Canis lupus familiaris: one gene and its partners. The protein of the gene in region 1 interacts with the protein of each later gene in a pairwise test. Links are inferred from orthologs where the notes say so. Each region holds a gene or a part of one and is shown in the gene's direction. Other genes may lie near its edges. The genes, in order: KRT40, MXI1, ZGPAT, MTA1, DLGAP2, CCDC185 and ZNF202.

What was found.
Region 2: the proteins of KRT40 (region 1) and MXI1 interact in binary tests that used the Homo sapiens proteins (3 or more experiments, as listed by UniProt). The two-hybrid records come from large-scale screens. The link is inferred for Canis lupus familiaris from reciprocal best matches to the Homo sapiens genes KRT40 and MXI1.
Region 3: the proteins of KRT40 (region 1) and ZGPAT interact in binary tests that used the Homo sapiens proteins (3 or more experiments, as listed by UniProt). The two-hybrid records come from large-scale screens. The link is inferred for Canis lupus familiaris from reciprocal best matches to the Homo sapiens genes KRT40 and ZGPAT.
Region 4: the proteins of KRT40 (region 1) and MTA1 interact in binary tests that used the Homo sapiens proteins (3 or more experiments, as listed by UniProt). The two-hybrid records come from large-scale screens. The link is inferred for Canis lupus familiaris from reciprocal best matches to the Homo sapiens genes KRT40 and MTA1.
Region 5: the proteins of KRT40 (region 1) and DLGAP2 interact in a two-hybrid assay, tested with the Homo sapiens proteins (2 studies listed by BioGRID). The link is inferred for Canis lupus familiaris from reciprocal best matches to the Homo sapiens genes KRT40 and DLGAP2.
Region 6: the proteins of KRT40 (region 1) and CCDC185 interact in binary tests that used the Homo sapiens proteins (3 or more experiments, as listed by UniProt). The two-hybrid records come from large-scale screens. The link is inferred for Canis lupus familiaris from reciprocal best matches to the Homo sapiens genes KRT40 and CCDC185.
Region 7: the proteins of KRT40 (region 1) and ZNF202 interact in binary tests that used the Homo sapiens proteins (3 or more experiments, as listed by UniProt). The two-hybrid records come from large-scale screens. The link is inferred for Canis lupus familiaris from reciprocal best matches to the Homo sapiens genes KRT40 and ZNF202.

What each region holds. Positions count from the first base shown.
Region 1 is NC_049230.1:21,662,831-21,666,413, forward strand, and holds the end of KRT40 (keratin, type I cytoskeletal 40), read left to right. Parts: exon of another isoform or gene 1-39; coding exon 40-201; intron 202-269; exon of another isoform or gene 270-280; coding exon 281-406; intron 407-557; exon of another isoform or gene 558-670; intron 671-1,737; coding exon 1,738-1,958; exon of another isoform or gene 1,959-2,076; intron 2,077-2,464; exon of another isoform or gene 2,465-2,504; coding exon 2,505-2,604; 3' UTR 2,605-3,083; downstream 3,084-3,583. UniProt on the Homo sapiens protein: May play a role in late hair differentiation.
Region 2 is NC_049249.1:21,816,743-21,820,242, forward strand, and holds part of MXI1 (max-interacting protein 1), read left to right. Parts: exon of another isoform or gene 1-26; intron 27-215; exon of another isoform or gene 216-360; coding exon of another isoform or gene 361-433; intron 434-1,568; coding exon 1,569-1,701; intron 1,702-3,500. UniProt on the Homo sapiens protein: Transcriptional repressor. MXI1 binds with MAX to form a sequence-specific DNA-binding protein complex which recognizes the core sequence 5'-CAC[GA]TG-3'. MXI1 thus antagonizes MYC transcriptional activity by competing for MAX.
Region 3 is NC_049245.1:48,110,382-48,113,881, forward strand, and holds part of ZGPAT (zinc finger CCCH-type with G patch domain-containing protein), read left to right. Parts: intron 1-3,264; coding exon 3,265-3,398; intron 3,399-3,500. UniProt on the Homo sapiens protein: Transcription repressor that specifically binds the 5'-GGAG[GA]A[GA]A-3' consensus sequence. Represses transcription by recruiting the chromatin multiprotein complex NuRD to target promoters.
Region 4 is NC_049229.1:73,174,746-73,178,245, forward strand, and holds part of MTA1 (metastasis-associated protein MTA1), read left to right. Parts: coding exon 1-43; intron 44-135; coding exon 136-325; intron 326-447; coding exon 448-537; intron 538-1,583; coding exon 1,584-1,736; intron 1,737-1,889; coding exon 1,890-1,925; intron 1,926-3,500. UniProt on the Homo sapiens protein: Transcriptional coregulator which can act as both a transcriptional corepressor and coactivator. Acts as a component of the histone deacetylase NuRD complex which participates in the remodeling of chromatin.
Region 5 is NC_049258.1:30,702,103-30,705,602, forward strand, and holds part of DLGAP2 (disks large-associated protein 2), read left to right. Parts: coding exon 1-69; intron 70-1,600; coding exon 1,601-2,010; intron 2,011-3,500.
Region 6 is NC_049259.1:24,499,196-24,502,814, reverse strand, and holds CCDC185 (coiled-coil domain-containing protein 185), read left to right. Parts: upstream 1-1,455; coding exon 1,456-3,006; 3' UTR 3,007-3,119; downstream 3,120-3,619.
Region 7 is NC_049226.1:10,746,051-10,749,550, forward strand, and holds part of ZNF202 (zinc finger protein 202), read left to right. Parts: coding exon 1-361; intron 362-1,054; coding exon 1,055-1,265; intron 1,266-1,613; coding exon 1,614-1,702; intron 1,703-2,820; coding exon 2,821-2,950; intron 2,951-3,484; coding exon 3,485-3,500. UniProt on the Homo sapiens protein: Transcriptional repressor that binds to elements found predominantly in genes that participate in lipid metabolism.

The sequences.
Region 1 (3,583 bases):
ACCACTCTGTGACTTTCTTTACTCCATTTCCTCTTTCAGGAGGTTGACTTGCTTCGTGGACAGTTGGGTGACCGACTCAGTGTAGAGCTGGACACTGCCCCCACCATCGACCTCAACAGGGTCCTGGAAGAGATGCGTTGTCAGTATGAAACCGTGCTGGCCAACAACCGTAGAGACGTGGAAGAATGGTTTGCTGTTCAGGTCAGTACCCAGAGCAAGAAAATGACAAGCTTCCAGACTTCTGCCTTATTTGCATCCTCTAATCATACCTGGTTTACAGACAGAGGAGCTGAATCAGCAGCAGCTGTGCAGCGCAGAGCAGCTGCAAGACTGCCAGACAGAGATCCTGGAACTGAAACGCACAGCCAATGCTCTGGAAATTGAGCTCCAAGCACAGCAAAGCCTGGTATGTAAGGGAAAGACAGCTCTGTTTTTGTCACTGAAGAATTAAGCCCTGAGATGCTAGTCCCTCTTCCATGAACCCAAGGAGAGATCCACAGTTCATGTGGCAGAAAGTCTGAATTTCCAATATGCAAGGATTGTATTCTTTGACTTACCCAAATACTGCTGTTTACTGAGCTAGAAGCAGAAGTGATAGGTCAACAGTCTGTACTGTCCCAACAGGATTCCCTGACCTTCCCTCCTGGGCTTGAGCATGATCCTGCAGCACCTTCCAGAGACAGAAAAAGAACAGGAGGGCAGGAGCAGAATGAGAGTGGAACCTCTGAGCTGAAGGCACTGAAGCATTCCAGTGGGTTTTAATTGTGCTTTGATTTGGGCCAACTTCTCAAACTCAGCATCATATAAAAGAATAATATTCAAACTTTGCATTCTTCCACTACCCTAAGCTTTTCCAGGATCCACACCTCAACTGGACCCTTCACTCCACCCCATTTCACCCAGCAATGAAAATACTATGCACTGGGGAGCCTGGCTGGCTCAGTCAGAGGAGCATGTGACTCTTGATCTCAGGATCATGAGTTCAAGCCCCATGCTGGGCATAGAGGTTATTTTAAAAAAAAATTTTTTTAAAAAGGATACCATGCATTGAAGATCACATTAGCCAGTTCCAGTCAGACACCACTGTCTGTGCCACATTGGGGCCTATAGAGACTATCTGGGTGAATAATAGCTACATATTTATCTTGTGAGAGGCTTAAACGCCTCATAATAACTTGATGGGATAAATCCTTTTACTAAACCCATTATCAGATGAGGAAGACTGAGACTCAGATTAAGTAGCAGGGGTCATGCAGTTGTTTTTTTTTTTTTTTTTTTTTTTTTCATGCAGTTGTTAAGAGGCAAAAGTGGAAGCTGGATCCAGCTGGTTCAATCCCAGAGCCTCTTCTCTGAACCATTCTATATGGCTCTTTCCTGCCCCAAGTCCATACTCAACTTCTCCCCTCAAATGCTGTTGATCTTCCTTAATATATATTACAGGTTGTGATGGGCAAGTGGTGATAGTAATAACTAACCCTTGCACAGTTTTGAAATTTTTTCCAGGCACTGTTCACAGTGTTTTACACATATTAATTCATTCAATCCGCACAACCATCCTATGAAATAAGTACTTTGCATTGGTCATTTTTTATAAAATAAAACAGCCTCAGAGAAGCTAAGTAATTTTCCCAAAGTCACATAGATGCACTAGGGTAGATCAAGGATTTGAAAACCAGCACTCTGGCCCCAAGGACTATGCTACACAGCCCTTCTGAATATACTCTTTTTCTTCTGCAGACAGAGTCTCTGGAATGCACTGTGGCAGAGACGGAGGCCCAGTATAGCACCCAGCTGGCCCAGATGCAGTGCCTGATTGATAACGTGGAGAACCAGCTGGCTGAGATCCGCTGTGACCTGGAGCGGCAGAACCAGGAGTATGAGGTGCTGCTGGACACAAAGGCTCTGCTGGAGGGTGAGATCAACACATACCGAGGTCTCCTTGAGAGTGAAGACAGCAGGCAAGTTCCACACGATTATTCTCAAAATCCCCCAAGTCACAAAGAAGCTCATGCAAGAGAATCTTGCCTCCTCAAGGTCTGCCCAAGGTGAAACCTCCCTCATGTGTTAAATGATCTCCTTACAAGAGTAAAAAGACAAACAAAACAAAACAACAACAACAAAAAAAACAGCTGAGGCTAATCACATGACAGTAGAAGTATTCAAAAGTATTCCAAAGTTCTAAAGCAGAATAAGTATCACATACAAAATTTCATGCTGGGCGTCCCCCTTTGTTCCTGACTTCCACCAAAGAGAAATCAGGAACATGCATAAGATAACATTTGCAAAGTGAAATAAATACACAAAACTGTGTATTCAACTGGCACAGGGGCAGTGAGCATTCCTAGTGGCAATGCTGAATCTAGGCCTGAAATAGGCTTAGGTCAAATGCTACTCTGCAAAGAGTGTTCAGAACATCATTTGCAGGGCAAATTTTGGCACGATCTTTTCTGAGTTGAAATTTTACCTGGATTTCCCTTGTTAAGCTTACTTCAAAATTTCCACAGGCTTCCTTGTAACCCGTGTTCTACAATAAGCACATCAAGCAACACTTGTGAGGCATGCTCAGCGTATCTGATTTGCACGGTCGAAAACTACTGTGCATGAATGTTCAACCCTCGGCGCAGTGGATAGAGGAGTCAAAGCCAGCAGTGTCCTGGAAAGGAGATGGGACTTCAATCAGATGCATCCAAATCTAAAAGTCAAGAAGGGGTTTCTACCCTAAATTTGTCCTCTAAACATCCCCATTATATTTCTGCTTTGTCATTTCCTCTCCTGCCTGCTTATTAGTGATATTCTAGGAGTCTATAAAGCTTTCTTGCTAATCTCCAAATAAAATATGTTTCATTCCTTTAGCATGGTAAATATAGCTTTGTGGCTTATAACTGTGGATATAAGAACCATGTGATGCCTAAACCCATGTCGATAGTTTGATTTTGCACAAACCGAGGCTGAAAATAGTTTTTAACTCCTCAAATACAAAAGTTTAACTAATCCATGCAAAATGTCATACATCTTGGAAGACAGTTGTATGTATCTTTCTAAGAGGAAATTTAAGAATAAATGTCTTATTTGTAATTATAAAAGTACAGGATTCCATTTTTTTCTCAATTTGGCACATGAAAGGGGAAAAAATTAGTTACAATTCCACCCCCAAACACCCGTTATCAGTATTTTGGGAGCTTCCAGCTTTCTTTCATATAATAGGTTTTTCCACATAATGGAAATCATATTTACATATGCACATAGTTGAGTAAACTACTTTTTTCACTATGTCATGTAAGCATTTTCAATCCAAATAAACCTATAAGATTGTCCTGTGACTGTTATTTTAGTGGCTACATAAAATACCATAAGGTTATTGGCCTGTTATTGGACATTTGGGGTATAAGAATAATTATTCATACACATTTAAAAAGCAAAGTGGAGAACTCCACCTCCAAAAAAATGAAATGGATGTACATTTCCTCATTCCTCTTCCTAAGTCTGGCTGAAAACCAGGGAAATTACATATAAAAGAAATATAAGCAGATTCTGAAAGGTGGAAGAAGCCAAACCAACTAGAATCATATTCAAGGAACAGCAA
Region 2 (3,500 bases), on another chromosome or scaffold:
GGTGGCGTGCGTACTACCACTCCCGGTGTGCTGTGGGAGGGGCGGGACTACATTTCCCAGGAGGCACAGGAAGGGGCGGGACGGGGCGGGCCTCGGTGCTGCGCCCGCCCCTCCCCCGTGCTCGCGCGGAGAGGTAAACAAACCGCGCGCGGGCTGCCGGCGGCGGCGGCGGGCGCGGCGGGCGCGGGGGGGCCGGCGGGGGCGGCGGGGGCGGCGGAGAGCGCGCCGAGCCGCGGCCGGGCTGGCCCGCCCGCCCGCCGCACATGTCCCGGGGCGGCGCCGGCCTGTAGCCGCCTGCGGCGCCTCCTGTCGGTCAGGAGAGGGAGCGCGGAGAGGCCCCGGTCGCCACCAGCGGTGCCCATGGAGCGGGTGCGGATGATCAACGTGCAGCGCCTGCTTGAGGCGGCCGAGTTTTTGGAGCGCCGGGACCGAGGTAACGGCCGGGCGCCGCTGCCTCCGCCGCCACCTGAGCCCGCGCAGTCCTCGTCGGCGCCAGGAGTGCGGTGCGCCGCGTGAGGGGAGGGCGGGTGCGTGTGTGAGAGCAGGGGTGCGTGAGGAGTGTGTGTGGAGGGCGCGTGTGAGGGGAGGCGCGCGTGCAAGGAGGCGTGTGTGAGGGGAGGGAGGGTGCGTGTGTGAGGAGCGGTGCGCGTGCGACAGGTGCGTGCGTGAGGAGGCGGGTGTGTGTGTGAGGGGTGCGGACGCGAGGAGGGGGGTGTGAGGAGGGAGCGCGCGTGAGGGCGCCCGGAGCCTGCGAGGGGCGGGGTGCGGGGGAGGCCGCGCGGGCCTGTGCGGGCGGGTTGGCGCGCGTGAGCCGGGAGGACTGGGAGGGGGGAGGGGGGCCGAGCCCAGGGAAGCGGGTGTTAAGAGTGGGCGCCAGCCCGAGGACTTGGGAGGAGAGAGGGAAGAGAGAACTGAAGGCACGGGGTGGCGGCGGCGCAGGTAGGGGAGAGCAGCCGAGGCCGGGAGCAGAGGGGGCAGTGCCTGCTGAGGAGCCCGCGGGGAGGAGGATGCACACCTCTGGGGAAGGGACCTCTGAGAAACGGAGCCTGGAAGAGACGTGAAGAGGCTGGGGAGCGGAGAGTAGGAACTCTGGAAATTACGGTGTCAGGGGAGAAAATGTCGTCCGAGAGGAGGCAGTTGGATGGTTTGAAGTAGGTGAAAATGGGGACCTTGGCGAGAGACCTAGGATGGGGAGAGTAAGTTAAAGGGGGATTTTGAGGCCGGTGAAGTAATTGAGGTGGATGGTAGCTAGCCTCAGAAATTAGTGTATTTCAGTCAAGAATTCATGGAGAAAAGGGTTTTGGAGAGGATGGAGATATTTCTTAGAGGTTTAGAGGAAGTATCTGTACACCTTTCAGGTAATGGGGTTGGGTCTGTATATAATGTCACAGGATCGATGTCCTGGCAAGGACTGAGAGTTTTATCTTCCAGCCAAAAAGTGGAAAAATACGACCTCCATTCTATCTGCTATTTTCTGCAACACATTGCTGCAATGACTTTAGATCAGTAGATCCACGGATTTGGGTATATTCCTGTTACCATGTCTTTTTTTCTTGCTATCTCTTTAGAGTGTGAACATGGCTATGCCTCAACGTTCCCCTCCATGCCGAGCCCCCGGCTGCAGCATTCAAAGCCCCCAAGGAGATTGAGCCGAGCACAGAAACACAGCACCGGGAGCAGCAACACCAGCACTGCCAACAGGTAGCAAGCTGGGGAGGTTTAGAAAAGGCTGCTGAGGGAGGGACCACACACACACGCAAAAGTGCAGGGGCTACCGACCTCAGTCCTCTAATATGGAGTCTGGAGCAATGCTGAATAGCCAGCCGAGTTCCTTTACCACCATCCCTGGACATTTGGCCCTATTAAATTCATCAAGTCTAGATATCATAACCTGGCTTTGTGTGGAAGGGAAGGTGTAGAATCCAGAAAGCAACCAAAGAGTTCTTGCTGGGGGTTATTTAATTTTTATTTATTTATGATAGTCAGAGAGAGAGAGAGGCAGAGACACAGGCAGAGGGAGAAGCAGGCTCCGTGCACCGGGAGCCCGACGTGGGACTCGATCCCAGGTCTCCAGGATCGCGCCCTGGGCCAAAGGCAGGCGCCAAACCGCTGTGCCACCCAGGGATCCCTTGCTGGGGGGTTATTAAGTGGGGAAGTCTGTGACTGGAGAGGGTCAGTACCTTGAGAGACTTGATAGCATGTGTCCATGCATGCAACCACATGCCAAAAGTAATTGAGCCAGCTTTAAATTTGGACAGTCCAAGAAGAATTTTTGAAAACCAGAAATAGCTCAGGCAGGATGTAAAGCAGAATCAAGGGTTTTGTTAAAGGAATAAAAATATTTAGTTAGAGTAGGAAGTTAGTGGGCATAATCTATTTGTTTAAGAGTGAAAAGGAAGACCATGCTAGGAAAAGTTGTCTCTTATTTGATAAGATTGAGTTGGTAAAGGAGCTTTAAAACACACACACACACACACAGAAAAAGAAAGACGCTTATTTTTTAGGCCAAAGAGATCCCTAGAAAATGGATGTACTCAGGCATTGTTGAAAACTTCTATTTTTTGAGAACTTTTGGTAGTGTCTGGCTGTCTTTTCAGTATTTTATCCCAGGGGGCCAGAGAATTCTAAGGCTTCAACTCGTAGGAAGTTCTCAGAAGGCCATCTTAAAAATCAACAGATGCTGCTGATTTTTGCTTTTTCCATTGATGAGGAGGAATTCAATGAAGCGTTTTTCTTGATTCCCAAAGCTTTATTTAGAGAATGTGAGCATTTATTTTGGAGAGGCACAGAGCAATCTCTGGGTAACTAAGGTCACCTGAAGTGTTTGGGAAACTCCAGGCAGGTCACTGGGGAGTCACTTGGGGAAACAGGTTGGGAGAGAGCAGGACTAGGGGCTCTTACTAATATTTGCAGGAAATTTGAGGCTTCTACAGATAATAATTAGAGCTCCAAAGGTTGGATCTTCCCACTCTGCATTTTTGATATTGCTGAGGCAAAACTAGGATTCACTCGTCCCTTTTTGACTAATCTTTAAAGCCATGTGTTTCCTTTTTTTGGTTTCTTTGTTAGGACTGTTCGTGTTTTTTAAGTTTAATTTTTAAAATTATAAAAATAGTTATAAGCTTAATATGCTGCATTTATGTTTATGTGTGGGTCTAGAGGATTTTTTATGGTATGATAGGTTTAGGATGAAAATATGTAATACAATCTGCAGTATTTAAAGAAGTAAATATAAATTTTCTCGTTCTTCACAGTTTCTCTGGTTAAGGTGTCAGCAGTTAGAATCTATATCTCAAGAATTCATGGCTTTTTCAGTCCACATGTAGATTTAAAAAGGCTTTTTTTTTTTTTTTTTAATTTAGAGGCACGCAAAGATGGAAAACCAGACCTGGGTTTTGTCACGCTACAAGTATTTACTGAGTCTTTCCTATTTTGTAGAAATCAGATAAATAATCTTACTACATTTTCTTTGTCCTTCATCTCATCTATAAAATGAAGGA
Region 3 (3,500 bases), on another chromosome or scaffold:
TTGGTTACAGCAAAGGGGTAACTTCCCAGCTTCCTACACACCAGGCTGGAGACCAGCAGTGTCCCAGCTAGTGAGTTTCTCATTTCAGTTATTGACTTTTCACGTCTGTTGTCTTGTTTTTACGTATTTTCTTTTTTTTCTTTTTATATATTTTCTATTTATGTTTTAAGATTTATTATTTCTTGAATCATTGTCACATTTTCATTTAGTTCTTTGAACTTACCACAATCTGCTTTGAGGTCATGGCAGATTTTGGCACTTGGACCCACTGAGTCAGATTCCATTCACTGCTTTTTTCTCCTAAATATGGGTCCCACTTTACTGTTTGTGTGCCTGGTGAGTTTTTATTGAAAATGGTACATTTCAGGTAATGTCTTGTAGCAGCTCTGGGATTTGAATCGTTTTCTTTAGTATTTTGTTTTCTTTTAATATATTTTCTGGACCTGGATTACGAAGTCTGTCCCCCCTCATAGTGCGCAGCTTCTGATATATCTGCTTAGATCCTTAAATTTATATTTACTTTTTGACCTGGCTTTTTAGGGGTCCCTTCTGTGTCCGTGTGGCTTCGTGGCCAGGCAGTGATGTAGGCAGAGGTTATTTGCAGCCACTCTTGCCCTCAAGGCTTCTCCCCATCAGTCAGTGTGTGTGGGCCGGGGGACACATTCCATGTTCAGCAGCCCCCATCTCCGTTCACGTGACGCTGGCCGGAGTCCTGACTGGTGCACCTTGTTTCCTGGAGAACCAGGGTGTTTGGGGGGGTGGAGCCCTTCTATGGTCGTTCCATTTTCTGGGTATCCCTGTGAATCGTAAGTGACCACTGAGCTGGGCTCACGGCCTCAGGGCTGATGGTTTTCCCAGGTCTCATCCCTGGTCTCACCCCTGCCATACTGCTCCTCGCGGGCACGCGGGGCATGTCCCCCACTGTGAAGCCACAGACATTCCCACCTCCCATTCTGTCCCAAAGTTGGGCAGTTTTTTTTTTTTTTTTAATTTTATTTATTCATGAGAGACAGAGAGACCAAGGCAGAGACACAGGCAGAGGGAGAAGCAGGCTCTATGCAAGGAGCTCAACGTGGGACTTGATCTCGGGTCTCCAGGATCACGCCCTGGGCTGCAGGTGGCGCTAAACCGCTGGGCCACTGGGGCTGAAGTTGGACAGTTTTTCACAAATAATGACTAACCAGTGTGTTGTCTGTTTCATTCCATTTCCAGAGTTCTGATGCTGTGAGTTTGGACCATTTTGCTTAGTTTCCCTGTTTTTCTCTACTTGGCCACAGCTGGAACTCAGAATATAGTTCTAAGTGCTTGTTTTCACATTCTAGTTTTATTCTAGAGTGTATTATTTCCATCCATGACTGTTGTGAGGTAGGTGACTGAGTTGGTTTGTCCTTTTTTTTTTTTTTTTTGAAGATTTTATTTATTTATTCATGAGAGACACAGAGACATAGGCAGAGGGAGAAGCAGGCTCCTGCAGGGAGCCTGATGTGGGACTCGATCCTGGGACCCTGGGGTCATGACCTGAGCTGAAGGCAGACACTCAACCCCTGGGCCACCCAGGCATCCAGTGAGTTGGTTTTTCTTTTTTTTTTTTTTTTTAAAGATTTTATTTATTCATGAAAGATACACAGAGAGAGAGAGGCAGAGGGAGAAACAGGCTCCATGCAGGAAGCCCACTGTGGGACTCGATCCCAGGACTCCAGGATCACGCCCCCGGCTGAAGGCAGATGCTCAACCGCTGAGCCACCCAGGCGTCCCTGAGTTGGTTTTTCAATACGGGAAACCAGTTTCTAATCTTTTCCTTATGGAACCAGCAGTCCATCCTTTCCTGACCGGTGTGTAGAATTTCCTCCATCACATGTGAGGTTTTTCATGTGTGTGTTACTCTTCCCAGGTGCTCTTGCTCATTCTATTGATCGCTTTGCCTGTTCGTTTTAGTTTTAAGTTCATTTTATGGATATGCCTTTAACTATTCCCCGTGGTTGGAAACTTAGGTTATTTCCAAGTCTTTTGAATTTAGTTACCATCCTTTGGGGCAAATTTTTGCATACTTTCATTATTATTTTTCTAGAATCAGTTCTTAGGTGTGTTTTCCTGGGTTCAGAAGGATACCAGATTTTCAGGCTTCTATTATCACTGGATATTCCTGCAGAGAAATGTTAATTGGTGGTTCTGGAGGCATGTGTCTGGGGGCGTGTGCTGAAGTGGGTATTTGGTTGAACTCAGTCCTGGGTGTAGCCCCCCCCCCCCCTTTTGGACCCATTGTCTTCCTCCTTGGCTGAACGAGGATTTTCAACCAGAGTCACCACCGCATTTGGAGCCCAGTCTTGGAGTTGCTGATGCAACTACTTGGGCTCCTACTTGGTCGTTGGCAGTGTCCTGAGGGCCTGAGGACCATCAGGTGTGAGAACAAACTGCCCAGAATCTTGCCAGGGGAGGTGTCTGAGGCCATCTTTGTCCACCCATAGGAGAGGACCGAAGCCCTTCCTTGGCGTTCCCATTATCACCACCACGTCCCGCCTGGAAGGGCTTGCCAGGGCCAGCGTCAGCTCTACGTCACCCAGGAAATGCCAGACCCTCGTTGCTCTCGTAGGGTTAAAACGGTTTCCTCTTTGAAAGGCTGGCACGGTAGAGGGGATATGTGGTTAGTCTTTTATGCCTTTATTTGGCAGAGTTGAGCTTGTCATTCTTTGTCCCCACATTTCTTCCTCTTTCTTTGCCTCCTCTTCTCCCCTCCCCTCCTCTCTCGGTTTTGGTTTTAATCTCACTGGTTCACTGACATCTAAAGATCAAGGCATCACTGTTACAGCTGTGTTCTCCTACTTGATTTGGGAAGGACTCGGTCCCATAAGCGCACACGCACAAACACACCCGCCTCGACGATCTGTTTGTGCCGGGGGGCTCCCTTCTGGTGGAGAGGCGATGGGGAGCTTTCGTCACATGGTTGTCTGCCCACCACATTGTTACTCTAGCCCGGAGAGCTGGAGGGTAATGCGAGGCATCTCATCCCCAGGGTAGCCAGGCCCATCCCAAGAATGAGAGAGTGTGCACACGTGGACATACGTGCCTGTTTGTGTGCAGGGGTATACGTGTGCATGCCCCCATGTATGTGTATACGTGGGTGGGTGTGTATGCGCGTGTGTCCGTTTGTCCGCCGTGTCTCCCTCCCTTTGGGCTGATGCCCAGGCAGGTGGACTGGGTTCTCCTGGGTTCACTTGCCCCAGTGCGCTGTGTCTGAGCCCCTGCTCCCTGCGGCTGTCTTGGCAGGTTCTCCCATGGGCAGGTGGTCTCTGTGGATGAGCTGCGCCCCTTCCAGGACCCGGACCTGAGCTCCCTACAGGCTGGCTCTGCATGTCTGGCCAAGCAGCAGGATGGCCTCTGGTACCCCGCTCGGATAACTGGTGAGGCTGCCCACGGGCCTCTCAGCCGGGGCCCCTCCTGGAGAGCCCTGTTCCATGCCCAAGAGGAGCGAGACCACCCTTGACCTGGGCCCTACCTTCCTT
Region 4 (3,500 bases), on another chromosome or scaffold:
CCGGTTAGATGGAGAGAGGCCAGGACCAAACCGCAGTAACATGGTAAGTGGGCACCCCTCCCCGCCCCCACGCGTGGCCGGGCGCCCGGCCCGCGGTCATGGCGCTGTGTCGGGGCGGCGCGCCCCCTTCCGCAGAGCCCCCACGGCATCCCAGCCCGGAGCAGCGGGAGTCCCAAGTTTGCCATGAAGACGAGACAGGCCTTCTATCTGCACACCACCAAGCTCACCCGCATCGCCCGGCGCCTGTGCCGAGAGATCCTGCGCCCGTGGCACGCTGCCCGGCACCCCTACATGCCGATCAACAGCGCGGCCATCAAGGCGGAGTGTGAGTGCCGCCCCCCAGCCCCGGGCTCGGTCCTCGGAGGAGGGGCTCACCAGTGTGCGGGGCGGCTGGCGGGTATGGGGGTTCTGACCCCGGGCTCCCTTCTGTGTGCCGGGCCCCCACAGGCACGGCCCGGCTGCCCGAAGCCTCCCAGAGCCCACTGGTGCTGAAGCAGGCCGTGCGGAAGCCCCTGGAAGCTGTGCTCCGGTACCTAGGTAAGCCTGCCCCGCCCCAGCCCCGCGTGGGCAGCCTGGCAGCGGGCGCCTGCAAGGGAGGGAGCCGGCCTCCGTGCTGCCACCGAGCCAGGCCTGGAGGGGCCCTTGGGGCCTGAGCTGCCGTGGCCCCCGGCACGTATTTGTATTTGTATTGCTTTGTATTGCTGCAGCGCGTGGGGGCTTGGGGGGGTCCAGGGGGGCCTGGGGGGGGTCCAGGGTTTGGCCGCACGGACTCAGGACAGGCTTCGGGCATCCACTGCAGACACCTGCAGGATGGTTCTTCACCCCCAGCCCAAGCGGACGGCCCATTGCCGCGTGAGCAGCACACATGCCTGGTCTGCAGCCCACGGGGGGGTCCTCGGCTGGCACCCCTGGGCTCGGCTTTGCCCACTGCTCAGCCAGCCATGGGCGGCTTGTCCTGGGGGCTCACCAGGGTGCTTGGGGGCAGGAGGGAGCTGGCCCCTGTGCTGGGCTCAGGGCGGGATCGTGAGTCAGTCCCTCCAGCGTGGAGGTGGCTGACCTTCTGTGAAGGACATTCCAGAACCATGACCTAATCGCGTTCCACGTGGACACAAGTGGGTTTGGCGTCATCAGATGTCTAGGGTCTGGGTCGGGGGGCTGGGCCTTGCCCCATCTTGAGAGCTACCGGGGCCCGGGGGGGTTGCTTGGCAGGTCCGAGCCTGAGCCTGCGGCCGGCCGGCGCTGAGGGGGGGCGTGGCCTTGGCTGGGCCAGCCTGGCAGTTAATTCATCACCTGGCCGGCGGCCAGCCTGCTGCCATCAGCTCCGGTGGCCTGGACCTAGACACCTCTGATGGGCCTGCTTGTTTATGGGCCTGTGTCTGGAGCCTGGAAGCTGCTGGCAGTCACCCAGTGATCTGTGGGGCCCAGGCCTGCCTCGCTCTCCCCGCTCCTCGGACACCCTGATGGGCAGGGCCGGCGGTGTGCTCCCCCGGCCGGCCCCGTGGTCGACCTCCATCGGGATGGGCCCCGGGGGCTGCTCGAGCCATTCCCTAGCCACAGTGAGCCCCCGCTGTTGCTCCCAACAGAGACCCACCCCCGCCCCCCCAAGCCCGACCCCGTGAAGAGCGTGTCTGGCGTGCTCGGAGGCCTGACCCCGGCCAAGTCGGCCCCCGTCATCAACAACGGCTCCCCCACCATCCTGGGCAAGAGGAGCTATGAGCAGCACAACGGGGTGGACGGTGAGTCTCCGGCGGGGCGGCCAGGCGGGGCCTCCTCTCTGGGCCGGCGCGGCCTGCTGGCCTGGGGGTGCCCGGCCGGCCCTGTCGCTGCCTCGCCCGCGCCCGCTGATGGTGTTCTCTCTCCCTCTCTCTCCCGCCGTCGGGCGCTGGCAGGCAACATGAAGAAGCGCCTCTTGATGCCCAGTAGGGGTAAGGCCTGCGGCGGCCGCTGGCAGGGTTGCTGCGCGAGCCCCCGTGCGCTGCCTGTGTGTGCTGTACCCTTGCGTGCATGGTGCACGGCGGGCGGCTCAGGGCTCGCCCAGGGGCCAGTCCACGCGGGCCGGGCCGCACCCTGCTTCCCCGCGCTCCCCCGGTTCCCCTGTCGCTGGGCAGAGAGCCAAGTGCGGCCTCACGGGTCCCCCATCGCACGCACCCGAACGCCGTCTCCTTCCCCGGGGCCTCTGGCTCGTGGGGTGTCCCCTCCTTCCCGGCCCAGTGCCCGGTCAGTGGACTGTCCTTGCTCGTGTAGCCCTGGTGCCCCCGCCGCCTGCCTGTACTGTCTGCCGTCGCGCTGTGACCGCCTGCATGCCGTCAGCCTCTGCTCCCGCGGCTGCCCGCGCTGTGCCTACGACCCTCCTGTGCGCCCTGCCGTGGGGGGGGGGGCTTTGGGACCCCGGCCTCTCTGGTGGGGGCAGATAGGACCGAGCTGTGGGCCTGGCCGGCAGGGCTGGGGGAGGCACGCAAGGCCCAAGGGAATGTCCAGGCCAGGGCCTGACGGGGAGGCACGCGGGGCCAGGTGTCCCAGAGCAGAGGCAGCACGCTCCGAGTGGGGCCGGACGCCCAGGGGAAGGGGGGAGGCTGGCGGGGGGGAGCAGGGGCCATGGGACCCTGCCGCCACCCAGTGCCCCGGTGGTTGGCGCTTCGGGAGCGGGCCTCCTGATCGTCCAGGCCAGTGCACAGTCACTGCCCCAGTGGCTCAGGGCCTGGCTTTGCCCCCTCAGCTGGGCGAGGGGCATCCACGGGCTCTGAGACCGCGCCACAGTGAGGTGCTAAGAGGGGTGGCCGTGGTGGCAGCGAGGGGCCTGTGGGCCCCGGAGGCTCTGGCCCCCCAGCGTCCGCCCGCAGCGGGATCCGTGTGGAAGGGAGGCAGGGACAGGGGAAGCAGGTCAGAGGCCCTGCTGACAGAGGCTCGGGGTCATGGTGCGGGCCAGCGAGCACAGACGTGCCCAGAGTTCCTGCTCACACAGGGCTGGGGAGCTGCTGCCAAGGAGTGGGCCAGGCATGGGGACCTGCGAGGGGCAGCAGGCAGTGGCCATCTGGCCTCGCCTTGCCCTGGGCCCTGCCCCCTGGCCTGCCCTAGGCCCCCGGTGCCCGGCTGTCTCTCTTCGTGAGCCCCTCCGTGGGGGCTCCTGCCTCCTGGCCGCCAGCCCCCCACGGTCAGCCCCCCATGGTCAGCCCCCCACAGGGCCTGCCACGGGCCCTGGTGCTAGTTAGCAGGTATCTTTGCTGTGCTTTGGGGCTTTGTTTGCAAAAAGCCATTAACGAGCGAGGTGGATAAAGTTAATTTGCTTCTATCGGTTTGTCCAAAGTGACATGTTTGCGCATCTGCTCGGGTCCAAGCATGAGGGTCCCAAGGGCGCCGTTGCTGGGCGCCTCCCCCAGGAGCCCTGGCGCCACCCACAAGCCCTGCAAGCAGCGGCAGCTGGCCTCCTGAGGCGCCCCCGGGCAGCCCGCGGGCAGGAGCTGAGCTCTGGGCCGGCCCGGACCCTGGCACCCTTGGGGCCT
Region 5 (3,500 bases), on another chromosome or scaffold:
TTCTGACACAGAGAGCCGAGGCTTGCGGGAATACCACTCTGTTGGCATCCAAGTGGAAGACGAGAAGCGGTAACTCAGCCCCTTCAAAATAGACAATGTTCCCAAGCAGGAGCGATCCGTTAGAACCTGATTGCAAATATCTAGATCATGCTGACCATCAATAATTCATGTCTTGTGGAAACAGGGTCATATATTTATACTTTTCAACTTATCGTACAATTATGAATTAACATCCACCTGCGTCTTGTTTTTGCAAGAAGCAGGGGAATAATTATTTCCAACATAATTTACCACTTATGAAAGCAGAGTTGCTGACAGCCCTGAAAGCCAAAGTTCTTCATCCAAAGGAGGAACAGATGGGCTTGAGGGTGAATCAGATGAGTCTCCTTACCTGATGATGTTAAAAGTGAATGAAAGAGAAGAAAGAAAGTGAAAACCTTAGCTACAGCATGATTTCAAACCAAAACATACAGGGGTGCCTATTACAGTAATGTTATCTTTGTCACAAGGACAGGGTGATTATTTTATATTTAAAAGATATATCTTGTAAATTTCATAAATAACTAATTTTAATGAGAGCACCGTTACATCTGCAACTTCAGTTAGCGTCTAGTTGGCAAAGCCCCGGGTGACATAGCTCATCGTGGAGGGTTTTAGGACCCAGCCAATAAAGATTTTGATTGCAGAGAAATTCAGACCAGAAACTAATGGCTTCCCAGGTTCCCTGTAGACCACTTAGGATGCAGACGGCTTCTGCATGGGGACCTGGGCTTGCTGGCCTCCGTCGCCATCACCAGCTTCTTCTCCCTTTCCTTGCCTCCAGCAAAGACACTAAGTGGCAGACTCATTAACCAGCTGCACACACAGCTGTTGCCAGATGAGGGTTCAGTTGGTGAGAAGCCAAAATGTATACTTCAGGTTCATTTGGATGCCCCCGCCCCCACCCCACACATACAGTTCTCACCCAGTGATATCCGGACTCCAATTATAAGCCTTTTCCTGCCCATCACTTCAGTAACTGTGTGGGAACGGGTGGCCTTCCAATACACGGGATGGAAATGTTTTTAAAACACCTGCTAAAGCTGGAATTTGGATTCCTTATTTTGCACAAGAGACTTAATGGGGATGATATGAAGTTATTCCAATAGGAGAAGAGACTCATGCCCTGAAATGTGTCACTGAAACTCAGTAGGGTACGGAAGCCATTTACATAAAAGGAGCAACACAGCCTTCCTGTTACCTGGATGCAACACAGGGAAGTTTTGTGAACTTGCAGTGTATTTGTAAAGGGCAGTAACTGTGCGAGGCAGGGGTTTCCTGGAGTACGTCACCCCTATGGCCTCCTGCGATGCGCTTGAGGTTAAGTGGGCATTTTTTAGGCCTTGAGACTTAGGTAGATGTCAGAGGTTAATCATTTGCAAAACCCAATGTTCTTTCATGGCTGAAACACCAAAATTGTAGTAAAAAGATGAAAAGTTTCCTCTTTCCCTTGAGTTATTTGTTTGGGGCAGCGCAGGAGTATCGCGTGTGAGCTCGGGGAGGGTTTGCTGCACAAAGTCAGCTCAGAAAGTTCCATTCCTTTTCCGTCTCTCCTCCGCAGACACGGACGTTTCAAGCGTTCAAACAGCGTGACAGCCGCCGTGCAAGCAGACCTGGAGCTGGAGGGCTTCCCCGTGAGCACCGAGGACAAAGGGCTGCAGTTTGGTCCCTCCTTCCAGCGGCACTCGGAGCCCAGCACGCCCACCCAGTACGGGGCAGTAAGAACTGTTCGGACCCAGGGGCTCTTCAGTTACAGAGAAGACTACAGGACCCCCGTGGACACTGCCACCCTGCCCCCTGCAGACCCCTGGCTGGAGCCGTCCATGGAGACAGCGGAAACCGGCAGGATGTCCCCGTGCCGGAGGGATGGCTCATGGTTTGTGAAGCTGCTGCACACAGAGACGAAGAGGATGGAAGGCTGGTGTAAGGACATGGAGCGAGAGGCAGAGGAGAATGACCTCTCAGAGGAAAGTAAGAGCACAGCCTCCCCTCGGCGTATGACACGGGTCCTGGGTCAGTAGAGCAAACGGGCAAATGGCAGTGTGAGTGGGAGAAGCCACCTCTGATTCTTGGGTTGATTAAAACAAACGTGCTTCCCACCGCATCCCACTCAACTCCCAGAAAACAGATAAGTAAGTGAACAGAAAAGCAACTGCCAAAGCGTCCACAGGGATCCTTTGGGGGTTTATTAGCTCATGAGCCTGACAGGCGCTGACTGTGGCTCGGTGGGTCCTGTACCTCTCCCCACGTACCCATTCTCCTGAATTCTGGCAGTGACTTGACGTGGAGTGTTTCCACGGGTTTCTAGAACCTTTACTGTCCCATGTGTACAAGGAATTGAGTTGGTTTTATTTTTTTAAAGTTTGATTGATTTATTGATTCGAGAGAGGGCCTATGTGAGCTGGGGAGGAGCAGAGGGAGAGGGAGAAGCAGACTCCACACTGAGCAGGGAGCCCACTAGGGGGCTCAATCCCAGGACCCTGGGATCACAACCTGAGCCCAAACCAAGAGTTGGACTTACCTGACGGACCCACCCAGGTGCCCCTGAGTTGGCTTTATGCCAGGGAGAGGTTGGAGATGAGCAGAGATTGCTCCGGCCCTCCTGGCCCCATGCTGAGCGGGAATCCCTGTGACGCCCCAACCTGGGGCCCACAGGGCAGATCTGCTACAGCGCGTCTGGCTCTGAATGTCTTGACCTAACAGATCTTGCTCCCTTTAAAGTATTTTTTCTTTTTTTCTGTGAATTCCTTTGTATATTTGCTAGGTTGCTATGAATTCTCCATTTCTTTTTTTTTTTTTTTAAGATTTCATCTATTTATTCATGAGAGACCCAGAGAGAGGCAGAGACACAGGTAGAGGGAGAAGCAGGCTCCATGCAGGGAGCCCGATGCGGGACTCGATCCTGGGACCCCGGGGTCACGCCCTGAGCCAAAGGCAGACGCTCAACCGCTGAGCCCCCAAGATGCCCCTAAATTATCCATTTCAAGAGGATAGGTGACATCCTTGGGAATTGTGCCCTGACATTATGTGTCGAGATGGCTGCTGTGATAGAACAACGTGTCAGTCATCCTACAAATGGAAACACAGAGATGAGTTTACATGGGCTTTACATAGCTTACGGAGTAAAAGGCTGCAGGATCCATAAATTAGGAAACTAATTGGTGTGTTGCTCTCTAGCTGTTAGGACTTACGGTGCTAACCTATGAAGAGAGAAATTGCCTTTAAATTACTAATTATCTTTCCCCACATTTCTCTCTTAATCATCAAATTCCACACGTTGTTTACCTGGGTAGATATTAGACCCTGAGTGGTTTGGAGGGGCCATTGCCGTGGCGAAGAATTTGAACCTGCTCCCCAGCGGGCTGTGGCCGATGGGTGTCTCAGACTGTCCACATGCATTTGTCCAAATTTATTATCTGTTTAGGGTACATTTAGTGGGGTGGTGACTCACCGTTCTGATA
Region 6 (3,619 bases), on another chromosome or scaffold:
AGGGCCCCTCCCCGAAGTGCATCATGGCCTCTCCAGGCGGAACCACCCCCGGCCCCGGGGCCAGGCCTGTCCACCGCCTCCTGTCCCCCGGCCACCGTCAGGCTTACCGACCCCCCACCGGATTACTGCACAGATCTCCTCCCCGGCCTTTCTCCCCGATTGACCGTCCATACTGCTGCCGGCTGAGTCCCGAAATACAGGCCCGATCGGGTCACGCCGCACGGACACCTGGGCCCACACAGGGGACCCCAAGCCCCATCCTCCTCGTGGAGGCGTGACCAGCAGGGCGGACACTGATGCCAGCATGGGGCCTCACCCTCATCCTGCAAAGGACCCTACGCACCTCGCAAAGGCCGGCCCCCAAGGACCAACCCACGGGGTGTTTGGGCCTTGATCCACTAGTGGGGCCCGAGGGCGGTGGGCTCCCAGGTCAGGGACACAGCACCCCCAACCCCAAGCGCACGTCCTGAGAGGCGCATGTTGACGTGGACAAAGGGGTGAGTCTGAAAACCCCTGCCATGGGCCAGGTGACCTCCAGGGTCTCAGGTTTGTCTTAAGGACTTGTTATCAATCCTATAGGCCCTGCCTGGTGGGATTGATGCGAGGTGGCCAGGAGATGCGGGTGAAGGGGACAGCAGGACCCCTGCTCATCCCGCTCCTCTGCAGGTGGCCGTACCCGGAGACTGAGGCCCAGACAGGCCTCCCCACTGCACCCCCAGACAGCAGGACACCCCGAGATGCTCCGCATGGAGCCTGCTTTAGAACTGCCCTAATTCCATTCTTTTTTTTTTTTTTTCATTCTTTTCTTGAGTTAGGAAATCTGCAGAAACTTCTGCAGACCCCTATATTAACTTCAGTTGAAAACAGGCAAACAAAACACACAGGGGTGGGCTTGCTCCAGCGCAGGAGGCAAGCCTGGAGCTCTGCAAACCTCGGAGGCGTGGCCCGGCCCGTGCCCCCCACCATGCCCGCAGTCCGCGCTGCGGTCTGCCTCCAGCCAGCTCCTTCCAGGTGCACCTGTGCCCCCCCAGTACCCGGCACCCCGCGGAGCAGCCCCTGAAGGCCAGGCCCCCTCCCCGCAGACCTCGAAGGCCAGCCCTCTCCCCCGGCAACCCACGAAGGCCAGGCCCTCCCACCCTCACACCCCCCCCCCCCCCCCCGCAGCCCCCAAGCCCCGCTCCCCTCCCCAGCCCCGGAAGGCCAGGCCCCCCTCCCCCACCCGCAGCCCCCTCCCCCTCCCCTCCCCCACCCTCGGCCCTCCCTCCCCCACCCACAGCCCCCTCCCTCCCCTCCGCCCGCACTCCCCGAGGCCAGCCCCTCCCCCTCCCCCATCCCCCGCAGCCCCCCCTCCCGCAGCCCCGAGGCCAGGCCCCCCTTTGTGAAGTGGCCGCCGCGTCACAGGCCCGGGTGGGGCTCGGGAGGGGCCGCGGCCCGCGGGGCGCACAGGGGCGCAGCATGGAGGGCCTGGGCCTGGGCCGCTGCTCCCCGCGCTCGCCCCTGCGGGGGTCCCCTCGGGAAGCGGGGTGCCCCGACTCGCCCCTGGAGAGCCACAGCCTGACCCACGTGGCCGCGAGGGTCCCCGCCCGCGCCAGGAGGCCCCGGCCCCCGCCCGCGCCCCGCCCGCAGCCCCGGGGGCCCCCGCAGCCCTCCCCGGCCACGGGAGACCCGCCCCCGCCCCTGCCCCCGCCCGCCGGGAGCCTCGGGGCGCAGCGGGCGCAGAGCGGGGACCTGTGGGCGGGGCGCGCGGGGGGCGCGGGGCGCTGGTCCCGGGCCTCGGGGCTCCCGGACGAGCCCTCCGTGGCGGCCTGGGGGGTCCGGCCGCCGTGCGCCTGCCCGTGCGCCTGCGGGAGGGCCGCCTGCGAGCCGCGGGGGTCCCAGGGCAGCCGGCCCGGCCCGGCCGCGGGGCCCCGCGCAGACCCCCCGAGCGCGCAGAGCCGGCAGGACCCGCTGCAAGAGGCCGCGGCGCGGCCCGGGGACCAGAGGGCGGCGGGGGTGCTGGCGCGGCTGCAGAGGGCCCGGCGCATGCGGGAGCTGCAGCGGCAGGCGGCCCCGGAGGAGCTCCAGTGCTCGGGCCACAGGGTGCAGGCGACCCTGGGCCGCCAGCGCGGGCGGCTGCTGCAGGAGAGCCCGGAGAGCCCGGAGAGCCCGGCCCAGTGGCCGCAGCAGGAGCCGCGGGGCCGCGGGCCGGACGGCCAGCCCAGGGGCAGCGCCAGGTCCGGACACCCCGGGGAAGCCCCCGCCTCGGAGGCGCAGCCCGCACCCCGGACGCAGGGCCCCGAGCCGCCACTGCAGGAGCCCCCCGGGGCGGTGCAGGGCCCGCGGGAGCAGGATGGGCCGCAGGTCGGGATGCAGGCCTGTCCGGGGAAGCTGCCGGCACCAGAGACCCAGGCCAGGGCCTGGGAGACCAGCCTCAGCTCGCTGGTCAACCACCAGGCGCGGAGGGTCCTCCTGGACTGCCAGGCCAAGGCCGAGGAGCTGCTGAGGAAGCTGTCCCTGGAGCAGAGCTGCCCGCAGCCCCTCGACAGCCAGCACGAGCCGAGGACCGGGCCACAGAGGCCACAGAGGCCGCAGGAGCAGCTCAGGCAGGTACAGCCGCACGCAGGGGCCACCGAGGTGCAGACGCGGGCGCACCAGCAGCTGCTGGCCCAGCTGGCCGAGCTGGAGAGGTGGCCGCCCAGGAGTCCGGAGCACAGGAGCGCCAGGGACAAGGGGCAGCACAACCCCGAGCTGAGCGTCCCGCGGGAGGAGCTCCGTCACATCCTGAGGCTGACAGCCAAGAAGGAGGAGAAGGGCCACGTGGAGGGCATCATGGAGGGCATCAAGGAGGCCGTCAGGAGGAAGGAGCAGAGGCTGGAGCAGATCTCCCGGGAGAGCGACGCCGCCTTCCAGGAGTTCCAGAAGCTGTCCTGGGCCTCGAGGAGGGACCAGGCCCGCGCGCTGGCCACCAGCCTCCTGGAGCAGAGGCCGCTCAAGGGCCCGCACGGGGCAGGGCCGCAGAGGTGCTGAGAGCGGGGCGCCCGGCGCCGGGGCGAGGCAGAGGCGGGCACCTCTACGCCCTGCAGAACCGGGTCGCCACCAGCACAGGTTTCAGAAAATATATAAAATACCTGCACTTTCCACTCCTGAACTCGCTCGTTGATTCATGCCGGGACTTGGGAGGGCTGGGGGTACACACGCCGGGATTTTAAGAAAAGGCCTTGCCTTCCTAAGTTTCAATTTAAATAGAAAATACTCATTTCGCTGTCCGGTAACCTTAGAAGCGCACATCAGGCCCCTCCTTGAGGAACTAGAGAAGAATCCACAGGAGGGGATTCAGATCCAGGTCCTAAGTCTTTGGCCATCCCAGAACTCACACATTATAACTGGTATTGGGAACGGATGCTCTGAGGGACGGAAAGTAAAATAATCACTGTGACGTGAGGTGTGAAGTCACAGGAAACCTCCAAGAAAGAAGAGATTGTGTGAGTGGGTGAGTGGGAGGCTCTCTGCAAACAAGTGGTCTGGGAACCCTGCACACCACGTGCCCTCTTAGCTGTTTCTAATGCACCTGAAGGTTTTAAAGGCTCTGAAAAGGCCTGCAGTAAAGAAATTAATGGTGAAACCTAGTGGTTGTCACAAA
Region 7 (3,500 bases), on another chromosome or scaffold:
AGAAGAGGGAATTCTGATGGTGAAATTGGAAGATGATTTCACCTGTAGGCCAGAGTCTGTCTTACAGAGAGATGACCCTGTGCTTGAGACCTCACACCAGAACTTCCGGCGTTTTCGCTACCAGGAAGCATCAAGCCCCCGAGAAGCTCTCATTCGACTGCGAGAACTTTGTCATCAGTGGCTGAGGCCAGAAAGACGGACAAAGGAGCAGATCCTAGAGCTGCTTGTGCTGGAACAATTCCTTACTGTCTTGCCTGGAGAACTGCAGAGCTGGGTGCGGGGCCAACGGCCAGAGAGTGGCGAGGAGGCAGTGACGCTGGTGGAGGGTTTGCAGAAACAACCCAGGAGACCAAGGCGGTGGGTGAGGAGGGGGAGTCCTGATCTGTGTGACGTGGAGGGGGACTATTTGCTGGAAGGATGGATTTGGGGGTAGAGCATACAGAGTCCCCATCATTTACCCTTTAAAACTAAGTGGCTCTGCTCTTGGGTTGCCCCTAGATCCATTAGGGGCAGGGATGTGTGTGTGTGTGTGTCTGTGTGTGTGAGTGAGTGAGTGTGACTTTCTGGTTTTTTAAACACCTGCCAAGGACCATCTTAGGGCCCTTAGCACTCTAGGGTCATATGGCTTTGGTTTTCCTTTCTTTGGCTATCGAACCTCCAGTTCCTGGGGAGGCCAATTTTGTGACTTCCTCAAAGGTTCTAGACTCTTGGGCACAAATCCCCCTCCCAGGACAATATGACAGGGAAGCAAACCACAAGGAGAGCTACAGGTGGGAGAGGTGGACATGGGAGGGACCGGTATCTCAGAGCCATGGGTGATAGGAGTAGGCTGAGGGGAGTGAGGAAGCCGTGAAGCATCTAAACGTCCCTGCCTTGTCCTAATGAGGATAACCATCAACAATTCTTGCATGCCTCCATGGAACCAGAGACTCCCATCCTCTCCTGGGATCCTCTGAGAGTGTTTCTGTTGGTAGCTTTCCCTAAAATAAGCCCTGTTGTCAACTGAGACTTTCCTCTTGACTCCATGCTGACTGGAAATTGGAATTATTCCCAGGTGACTGTCCATGTTCATGGCCAGGAGGTCCTGTCGGAGGAGACCATACATCCAGGAGCAGACCCCGAGTCACCTTGCGAGCTGCAGAACCCTGTGCATACCTTGCCTCCTGAGGCGTCCCGTGAGGAGACCATCCAGAGCCCAGATCTGAGGCCACCAGAAGAGCAGAGCCTATGCCATGAATTGGAGTTCCAGCCCCTGCGGGAGAGCGGTGGGAAGCCTCAACAGAAAGGGGGCAAAGTGGCAGGCAGAGTGTGGGAATGGGGATGTTTCCCGCCTATGAAGGAGGCTAGGTGGAGCAGAGTGGGAATAAATCATAGAATTCAGGGTGTTGAGACAATAGTAGCTAGAGTTCCCCCAGAAACTGGGCCAAGGTCAAGGAGCCAACCAATCCTTGGGTGTCCTCTTGGCATTTCAGTAGAGTTCCAGATGGTGACATTGGGATGACTTGAGCTGCCCTTAGACCAGTTTCTTGATTCCTACCAAAGAGGATGGGAGCTGTTTGCCAGTTACAGGGGTGCGCTGCACATCACTCATCTCTGCCGCCTTTTCTTCGTAGAGGTTCCAGTGTCCCAGGACCCAGACCTTCCTGAAGAGAGGAATGCCGGAAACCCAGAGATGGTTGCCCTTCTTACAGCTCTTTCACAGGTGTGCTCTAGTTTCTGTCCATGTCTGTGCCACAGAGAATTCGAAGAACCACCAGGCATTAGCTGTACACTGAACAGGTCGGATAGGACACATATTTCTACTCTGCTTTTGCCAACTTAGGTTCTCAGTTCTAGACGTGTCTGCATCCAATGGGAGGAATTACAACAGTCTCAGTTGGATCTGCAGGCTCCGGAGCCTCTATTTGCACCAGAGAAGGAAAATGAACAAAATGGGATTCTTTTATTTATATGTTTATTTTTATTTATTCATGAGAGAGACAGAGGCAGAGACATAAGCAGAAGGAGAAGCAGGCTCCCTGCGGGGAGCCCGATGTGGCACTCGATTTCAGGGACCAGGGATCACGACCTGAGCCAAAGGCAGACGCTCAACTGCTGAGCCACGCAGTTGCCCAAAGGGGTTCTTCTACGGGGTTCTTCTACGACACTGCACTACAACCCAGAAGTTGCCGAATGAGGGCTTGTTTTTGTTTTATGGTAGTGAACTTGATAGTCATTTGTAAGAATGGCTGTCTGCTGCAGAAATGACTTCTGGAACTGTGTGGTGTCCACTGGCAGGGACTGCACTCAGGCCTTGCCACGTAGGAAGCTCTCACCATGGTCAGGGCCCCAACACTAAACTGAGACTGGAGAGGAAAGGAATAGAACACATCTGTGGTTTTGGGTTATAGTCTCGCTATGGCAGAAGGGCCTGTGTGTGCTGTGCCGACCGTGTAGGTGACGGGGGTGGCTGGAGGTCAGTTAGGGAGAGCTCTCCAGAAAAGGTGAATTTTTGCACAAATGTAGGTGGCATCAAAGCATCAAATAGGGAGTTAATGAGGACTTTTAAGACTTTTCTTATATATTTTAACCAATATGCTCAAGAAGAAGAGCAGAGGCTGGCCCTGAGAGAAAGCAGTGGAACTGAGAGGTCCAGAGGAGGAAGTTGGAAATGGAAAAGTAGGAAGTCGGGGAGCAGTAGCCAAGGGTGCAGCAGGTTTCCCAAAAGGCCCCCAGGGTCCTGTGTGTGCTCCTTTTGTCTTCTGGAGTAACCTTCATTCCATGAATGAACTAGGAGCTTCAGGAAGCATCCTGTTACAACTGAAGTCTGTGTCGTTTCAGGGATTGGTAACTTTCAAGGACGTGGCTGTGTGCTTCTCCCAGGACCAGTGGAGCGATCTGGATCCAGCACAGAAAGAGTTCTATGGAGAATATGTCTTGGAAGAAGACTGTGGAATTGTGGTCTCTTTGTGTAAGGAATTTCAAGTGTTTCTAGAGTGTTCTGAGCCCAGAGGTCTTTCTCCTATTGGAAATTGTGGGAGTCTTAGACCTTAGACTGTATGCACCACGCTTCTCTTATGCCTGCCCCACCAGTGAGATTGAAGGATTAGCTAAGGAAGACAATATCTTTCCAAGTTAAAGGGAAGAGATGCCTAGAAAGTGGTTGGAAACTTCTAATAAAGTGAAGTTATGTTACAGCTTTAGTGTATTTGAGGTAGCATGTGAGTTTTGAAACAAGCAATAGAGGTTGAGAGGTTGAGGATGATCTGCTTGCTTGAATATGGGAAAAGAGGGAGTATTAGCAGTCCTTGATTATTGAGTTGCAGACGAAGGGCAAGAAATATGCAGGATTTGGTGAGAGGTGCTCAAGCTAAAAAGACCAGATTTGATCCACTGACCAGGCTGTCCATTTGTTCTATACAGTCTACCCGACAGCAAAGATCTGCTCTTAACTCAGGGAATTGCTGAACCAATCATAATGTCCCGCTTTCCCTCTCTTGAGCAGCATTTCCAATCCCCAG